Cricetulus griseus: one gene and its partner. The protein of the gene in region 1 interacts with the protein of each later gene in a pairwise test. Links are inferred from orthologs where the notes say so. Each region holds a gene or a part of one and is shown in the gene's direction. Other genes may lie near its edges. The genes, in order: Csde1 and Hid1.

Evidence for each region.
Region 2: the proteins of Csde1 (region 1) and Hid1 interact in binary tests that used the Homo sapiens proteins (3 or more experiments, as listed by UniProt). The two-hybrid records come from large-scale screens. The link is inferred for Cricetulus griseus from reciprocal best matches to the Homo sapiens genes CSDE1 and HID1.

Annotation. Positions count from the first base shown.
Region 1 is NW_023276806.1:53,919,219-53,923,030, reverse strand, and holds part of Csde1 (cold shock domain-containing protein E1), read left to right. Parts: intron 1-393; coding exon 394-501; intron 502-1,259; coding exon 1,260-1,435; intron 1,436-1,996; coding exon 1,997-2,109; intron 2,110-3,812. UniProt on the Homo sapiens protein: RNA-binding protein involved in translationally coupled mRNA turnover.
Region 2 is NC_048600.1:127,974,163-127,978,417, reverse strand, and holds the start of Hid1 (protein HID1), read left to right. Parts: upstream 1-1,356; 5' UTR 1,357-1,485; coding exon 1,486-1,551; intron 1,552-4,255. UniProt on the Homo sapiens protein: May play an important role in the development of cancers in a broad range of tissues.

The DNA of each region.
Region 1 (3,812 bases):
CAGTGATCATAGATTGAGGAGGCAGTTCTGAGTGAAGTCAGGCATACCTTTTATTTCATGTGTTTTACCTTGTATTATTTAGAGAGTCCTGGAATAAATTCCTGGATTTCCGAGCTCTGTAGCTAATTCTTTCTTACCTTTTTATAACTTGTTAGTGGCCGGGCAGTGGTGGCGCACACCTCTGATCCCAGCACTCCAGAGGCAGAGGCAGGCTGATCTCTTTTGAGTTCGAGACCAGCCTGATCTACAAGAGCTAATTCCAGGACAGTCTCCAGAGCTACACAGGGAAATCCTGTCTTGGGGGAAAAAAGCCAAATAAAAATAATTATAATAATTTGTCAGTGTTCTTGAGGATATTTATTTGTATTTTATTTATTTATTTATTTATTTTAGGAGGCGGAAGATGGCATTATTGCTTATGATGACTGTGGGGTGAAACTGACTATTGCTTTTCAAGCCAAGGATGTGGAAGGATCTACTTCTCCTCAAATAGGAGATAAGGCAAGAAAATTCAAGTTCGTGATTGTCATCTTGATCATAAAGCCTGATGGATACTTTAAATTTTGTTGAGCTTGGATGAAGTATTTTTGCACTTGAAAGGTTAAATACGTAATTAAAACAGGGTCTTGTGAGCTTCTAAAACATAGTGATGAATACTAGGTTTTTTAGCATGAGCTTTTTTTTTTTTTTTTTTTTTTTCTTCCTCCCTTCCACTACAGGGTTTCTCTGTGTAACATCTTTGGCTTCCTGGAGCTCACTCTATAGACCAGGCTAGCCTTGAACTTACAGAGACCCACCTACTTTTGCCAACCGAGTGCTGGGATTAAAGGGGTGCATCACCACTGCCTGGTAGCATGAGCTAATTTTAGAGACAGGTGAGGTGAATACACCTGTAACTCTAGCACTCAATAAATAGGCAAGGTGCACAACCATTCAATACAGTTAAATATTTCCACAAGAAAGCTTAAAGCACTTATGAAATGGAGCCAGCATAAAATTATGCCAAAGGTTTATATTGCCTGCTTTTTTAGACATCCTTCTTTTAGAGAGATTAATACTATAAAAAGTTGAGGGACAAAACTTAATCCTTTATGAAAAATAAGTTTTGATGTCTAGTATTTTCTGGAAATTATTAAAGTAATTACGAAAGAGGTCTGAAGTAAAAAACATGGTGTTGGGGTTTTCTGGGTTTCCTTTTTAGAGTTACAGAACTTGATGTGGAACTGATGGTGATGCTAATTATCACTTTTTTTTTGTAGGTTGAATTTAGTATTAGTGACAAACAGAGGCCTGGACAGCAGATTGCAACTTGTGTGAGACTTTTAGGTCGTAATTCTAACTCCAAAAGGCTCTTGGGTTATGTGGCAACTCTGAAAGATAATTTTGGATTTATTGAAACAGCTAATCATGATAAGGAAATATTTTTCCATTATAGGTAAGGAATGCCTTTTAGGTAGCATACTATTCATATTTTGCATTAGTTTTCAAAAATTTAATCAGAAACTTTTTGGAAATTACAGTTTTTGAGACCCAATTTTCCTATTTGTAATTATGGCAAGATGTATACAGAAGTTAGTCATCTGCCAAAAAAATAAATAATACACTTAACCGGCCTTTTTATATTTCTTAAATAAAAGAATATGCTTTGTTGTAAATATTGGTACCAGAGTGATGTGATTTCATATACAGTTATAGCATATACTGTAAAGTGTGAGTTCTTTGAATCAGAACCAGATATTTTAGTTTTGATTCAGATTCTGCCACTTAAATACATAAGTTACTTCCATCAAATGAATTAATTTCTTTGTTTCTTTTCATTACCTTGAAGCCAGAGATATAGGGTACCTCATTTAATGGGGTCTTTTGTTTGTTTGTTTAAGCATTTAATGAATCAATTCCTTAGAACAGTGTTCAGTGTAAGCAGAGTTGTTATGAATGTTAGAAAGAGTAAAGGCTACTTGATGCTGTTGATGTCACTGTTTTCCTTTCCCTTTAGTGAGTTCTCTGGTGATGTTGATAGCCTGGAACTGGGAGATATGGTTGAATACAGCTTGTCCAAAGGCAAAGGCAATAAAGTCAGTGCTGAGAAAGTAAACAAAACTCATTCAGGTAATGAATTGTGATTCCTTATTCATCCTATGCTTTGATTGGAAGATAGTAGATAGGGTAGGAGAAGAGGATAAGATAAGATTTGCTCTCTGGTGCCAGATCAGCAGTATACCTTGGCTGTTTGTCAAGAAGACATCCATGTTCTTAACCCCTGTCTTAGGTTTCTAAAATTCTGGACATGACAATCTGTTTTATCAAGTTTTTGGTGATTTGGGTAACATTAAAGATGGTATTTCGAATTTGGGGACTGTAGGAATTTAGAACAGGGTCTCTCTCTAACTGTGGCTAGCCTAGAACTGGCTGTGTTGATCAGGCTGGGCTCAAACTCAGAGAACCACTGGCTGTAGCTCCCTAGTATGTGTGCCACTATGCCTGGATTGTATCTGATTTTGCAGTGGGATGGGGAACTAATGCGGTTCTGATAATTTTTAGAATTGTATTAAATGCCTTTTTTGTTTTTAAGCACCCTGCTTTTTTTTTTTTTAATCTCAGAAATGTATTTTACATTCTCTCTATAAATACATCTTAATGCTTTTAGGAAAATATGCATTGTCTTGGTAGACTACTTTGGTGAATCGTAGGTCTAAATGTGAAAAATGAAGACAATCTTAGCCGTTTTGGGGGAGTGTTTATTCATGTTGGGAGTGGAGCCCAGGGTCTAGTACTTGACAGATACAGCTTTGGCATTTTCTATTTTTACATAGCCTCAACACCATTTTGGCTTTCTTTATCTAAATGCCTCAAATAATACTTTACCTTGAATCCTAGATATAGGACAGCTAAGACCATCCATTTTGATTCCACAGAAACCTAAGTACACAATGTGTTTGATGCCATAGAGATATAGTTGTGAGGAAACCAGACAAGTCCTGATTTTTTTTATGCTTTTTTTTTTTTCTTTATTTAGGTGGGGGATAGAAAATAGAAGTAACAATAACAAATTTTTATCTGTTTGTTGGTTGGGTCGTTTTACATGGCAGGGTTTGTCTGTGTAGCCCTGACTATCCTGGAACTCACAGAGATCCAGATCCAGCTGCTTCTGCCTTGTGAGTGCTGGGATTAAAGATGTGTGGCAACATGTCAGGCTCAGAAAACATCTTTAAATATGAGTGTCTGTTATGCCAAACTCAGGCTTTTTTTTTTTTTTTTCCTCCTCCGTTTTTCGAGACAGGGTTTCTCTGTGGTTTTGGAGTCTATCCTGGAACTAGCTCTTGTAGACCAAGCTGGTCTAGAACTCACAGAGATCCACCTGCCTCTGCCTCCTGAGTGCTGGGACTAAAGGCATGCGCCACCACTTACCTGGCTTAAACTCAGGCATCTTTAATGGCATTTTAGAAGCATTTATGGTTAAGTAATTATTCAAGAAATAGAACTGGCCTCAGACTCCCTATAATCTCAACTGGGTAAGATCTTGAGTTCTAAATCAGCCTAAGCTGCATAGTAAGATGTATGGGTGTGCATGTGGGTGTCTAGGCATGGAAGAGGTGGGGGAATGGGATGGAGAGAGGATTAACTGGTTGAAACCTATATGCATAATAATGTATTTTCTTTCAAAGGACCTAAATTCCCAGCTCCTACCTCAGGTAGCTCACATACAGTTCTCTATAAACCAGCTCCAGATCTGATGCCCTCTTAACATACTGGATACTATAGTCATTGCAGAGACCCATAATATATAATTAGAAAAATTAATTAAAATCCTT
Region 2 (4,255 bases), on another chromosome or scaffold:
TGACAAAGAAAAGCCCTGGGCATGCCCAGGATTTTGTTCAGGGCAGGGATAACACACCTTTGAAGAAAAGCTAGAGCTACCCAGTGCTGTGGCATGTTCTGTGAAGGGGTGACACTGTGCCCCTCTCCCTGCTTCTGCACCTGCTCCAACTTTAGGATTCCTGTTTGGGATAAAGTCACCTTGTTTTGAAGTATCCAGGATTCCCAGGAGCTTTCGGACACAGTAGGATGATGGTGTGTGAAAATACCACTTTTTTTTTCTACATAGCTCTAGCTGTCCTGGCTTGCTATGTAGACTAAACACCACTTTCTTGCGGGTGAGGGGATCTGGACTTGACTTTCTTTTTCCAAGGCTGGTCTCAAACTCACTATGTACCAAGGATGACTGGGGCTTCTGCTTCTCCTGTCTTCACCTCCTGAGTTCTGAGATTTCAGGTGCATGCTAGCTATTATTATTATTATGATGATGATGTATCCAGCCATTATCCTTAATTTAAGATTAGAGTGCTTGCCTAGCATGCACAAGGCCCTGGGTTCGATCTCCAGCACCTCATAAGATCAATGTTGGTTGTGCACACTTGTTATCCTGACACTTGGAGAAATGGATTAAAAGTTCAAAATCACTAACAGTGAGCTTGAGGCCAGTCTAAGATAAACTCCCAAAGCAAAGTGTACTGGGCTACACCGTGAGTAACTCCTTTATTCTCCTAAGAGCAGGTTCTGTGATGTGGTCCTGCAGAGACAGTGTTGTCTGCCTGCTCCTCTGCACTTCAAGGAGTTCCCAGGGAAGCCAGGGGACCAGAGAGGGGTCAAGACCCGAGGAGGCATCGTTTGTTGCCAGCTAGGTGCTCAGCTACCTTCCTGGAAGAGAGACACTGAGTCAGACCCTCCACACAAGTTAGGGCTGAGACCGCAGTGTGGTTAGAATAACTGCTGGGGTACCTATGGGTTGGACAGGTCAGAAAGAGAAACAAACAAAAAAATCCAAAAAGGAAAAAAAAAAAAAAGAAAAGAAAAGGCTCCAACAGCAACAATAATAGGGAAACAGGAAAGTCAGAGAGAGATGGCTGGAGGAGAAACTGCAAGCCCTGGGGCGGAGCGGGAATAAAGACTCTAAATGGAGGCAGGGGGTGCGATGTCCGGGGGATTTTGATCTTGGAGACTGAGTGACAGAAGCGGGAGATGGAATGGGACAACACTCGATTGTAGTTCAGTAGGACCAGCAGTTGGGTTCCACTGAGAACTCTGGACCACCGCTTCTCTGGAGGCCTGAACGGCAGGTGCAGAGGCGGGGCCTCTGGGGGCGGGTCTAAGGGCGGGGCCGCAGGGGGCGGGGCCGACGCCGGCGGCGGGCGGGGTTCGCAGCTCCGCTCCGCTCCTCCGCTCCTCCGAGAGCAGCTGGGGCCGCCGAGCTGGAGCTAGAGCCGGAGCCCGAGTCCGCGGCGGAGTCGGAACCCGGGGCTGGGCCGGAGCGGGCTCCATCGACATGGGGTCCGCAGACTCCAAGCTGAACTTCCGGAAGGCGGTGATCCAGCTGACCACCAAGACGCAGGTGCGCCCGGGGGCCCAGCCTCTTCATCCACCTGCGGGGCTTGGGGGCAGGGCAGGGCAGTGACGGGGGCTGGGTGAACTTGCCTCACTCGAGCGAGCGTAGGGTGACCCGCTAATCCCTACGGGAGGGGGATGCTGAGACCAGCACCGGGACGGGATCTTCCCTCTGCTCCGCAGGGCTCCATCTCTACCTCTGGGAGCCCACCCTAAGCCTGCTCTCCCCTGGGAGCACTCTCCCGGGCGCTGCGGCTGCCACCTTAGGCTGACGTGTGCCTACTCCCGAAGCCGGCGGCGACAACGCTATCCGCCCCCCGTCCCGCCCTCCCCAGTGCCCGCAGCCCCGCATAGCCAGCCTCATCCCGCTCCCACCTACCCATCCATCGCCCGGCTCTCCTTCCTGCCCTCAGTGCCCACGATCCCGGACGCACAGCCCGGGCTGACTCAATGCAAACAAAGCCGGGCCGGCGCCTGCCGGGCTCGGGGAAAACAGCTGGTGTGCGGTGGCAGCGGCGGCCTCTCTGGGCCCTGGTTGATGCCTGCGGGCAGGGAAGGCCCAGGTCTTCCTGGGAGCTCACAGAGTGGCTGGCGGCGGCAGCCGAGTAAGAGGAGCTGTCCTCGGGCCTAGGGAAACCAGCTTCCCAGCTAGGGATGCTCCAGGGGCTTCTCCGGGCCCGATGGAGCTGATTGGCTGTGCATTCTGGTCCCCGAAATGGGGATTCGGGGATTCCGGGTTCAGGTATGAGGAGGGACTCCCAGACTGCCTTTAGTCTGTTGCAGAGGGAGCCATAGGTACCTTCAGCTCAGTCCATGCTCCTACCTTTCCCCCTGAGTCCACAAGTGTCACAGAAGCCACCCCCTATCTCAAGCACACACACCTCTTGACACGGATAGGTTCCTCCCTTGCCCTCCTCTCTCTCCTTATTGCTGGGACCAAGCTACTCTGATCAGGAGCTACCCAGCCATGTCTCTCCGGGGCGGGGGGGGGGCTGACTGTCAAAGGGCTCTGGACCTACTACCATCTGGAACCCCACCCCCATCCCGCTGTTCTCAGAGCTCTATATTGTTCTTGGCCGGTTTGAGTGGGATCAGGAGAGCCATCTTCCCACAGCCAGCCAGTCACAGCCTCAGCGGGCAGAGCTCTACTCCCTCCCATACTCGGCTGCCCACCTTGGGAAGGTCTGCCAGGGCTTCTGTCCAGAGAGGCATTTCCAGCCGAGAGGCACTTGATGAAAACCAGAACTTCTCTTTGCTCCCATGACTTGTTCCAGAACCCCAAAGATGAGACTCTAGGTCTGTGGGCAGCAGAAAAGGGTGGTTTGGGGCACCTCACACAGTATAGGGTGACAGGGAGGGAGGAGGGTGTCTTCCATGTTTACTGCCTTGCTGGAAGGTGTGGTAGGCGCAGCAGGTCTTTGGGGAGCAGGATGAACTCAGACTGATCTAGAAGGTGGGCAGTGCCGCTGCTTTGGCAATCTCCCCTGAATACTGCATCCGAGTCTCTTTTCCTGGCTGAGATGGTCTGTCATCCTTAGCTGAAGACACTTAGTTGCGTGGACCAGGGCCTAGAGTAGGCTGAAGACCTGGCCTGGGCTACTCCCCGTCTCCCCACCCCTTCCCTTCTCCTTTCCCTCCTCTTCCTCCTCCTCCTCTCTCACCCCTTCCTCCTCCTCCTCTTCAATTTATATTATTTATTTTTGGGGTGTGTGTGTGTGTGTGCCCGAGCGTGTGTGTGTGTGTGTGTGTGTGTGTGTGTGTGTGTGTGTGTGTGCACCAAGGCCTATGTGTGGAGGATAACCTGTAGGAGTCAGCTCTCTTCTTCCACTCTGTGGATCCTAAGGATTGAATTTAGGTTATTAGGCTTGCATATCAGCAAGCAGAAAGTGTCTTTACCAAGTGTTTTTACCAAGAGCCTTTACCAAGAGTTTTTACCATGAGCCATTTCACCTACCCATGGGCTTTTTTGTAAGCATGGGACCTCTCACAGGTGGGAGAGGGTCAAAGCCTTGGACTCTTTGTAGTGATCAGCTTTGGGCAGCTGAGATTCAAGAGTCTAAGGTGGTCTTCCTGGACCTTCACTCAGTGTCCCCAAGGTGCTTCAGGTGTGTTGACCACAGGATGACCTCACTTCTAGACCCTCAGAGACTGTGCTTTGGGCATTGAATGAGTGGACTCTTCTGAAGCTGGGGCCTGGGCCCTTGCAGGTCAACCTTCCCTGCTTTCCGCCCCGCATCCTGTTTTATTTCCTGCCCTGTTGGCCAGCCCTGGGCTGGGCTTAACCCTAACTCTGAGGCCAGCAACATTGGTTGTGTTTCCTGTCTCCTTACTTGGCTGGAGCCCCAGGGTGGGACATTAGCAGGTTCAGAGACACCCCTCCCCCCAGATCCTGCCTATTTGAGGGTGCTGTGCTACAGGCCAGGGTAAGAGCTGATAGGTTCACATGCACATTCGTTCACATGCACGCACACGTGTGCCTAGGGTGTTTTGATCACCTGTCAGGACAGATCATCCTCATCAGGCTAGATCACAGCTGGTTTTGCCCCCTGCCACACCCACTCCAGAAGGAGACTGTTAAAAGCCACAACTGGGGGGCTGGAGAGATGTCTCAGTGGTTAAGAGGGCTTGTTAATCTTTCAGATGAAGAGTGGTTCACAGCACCCATATGGGTGGCTCACAACTATCTATGACTCCAGCTCTGGGAGATCCAA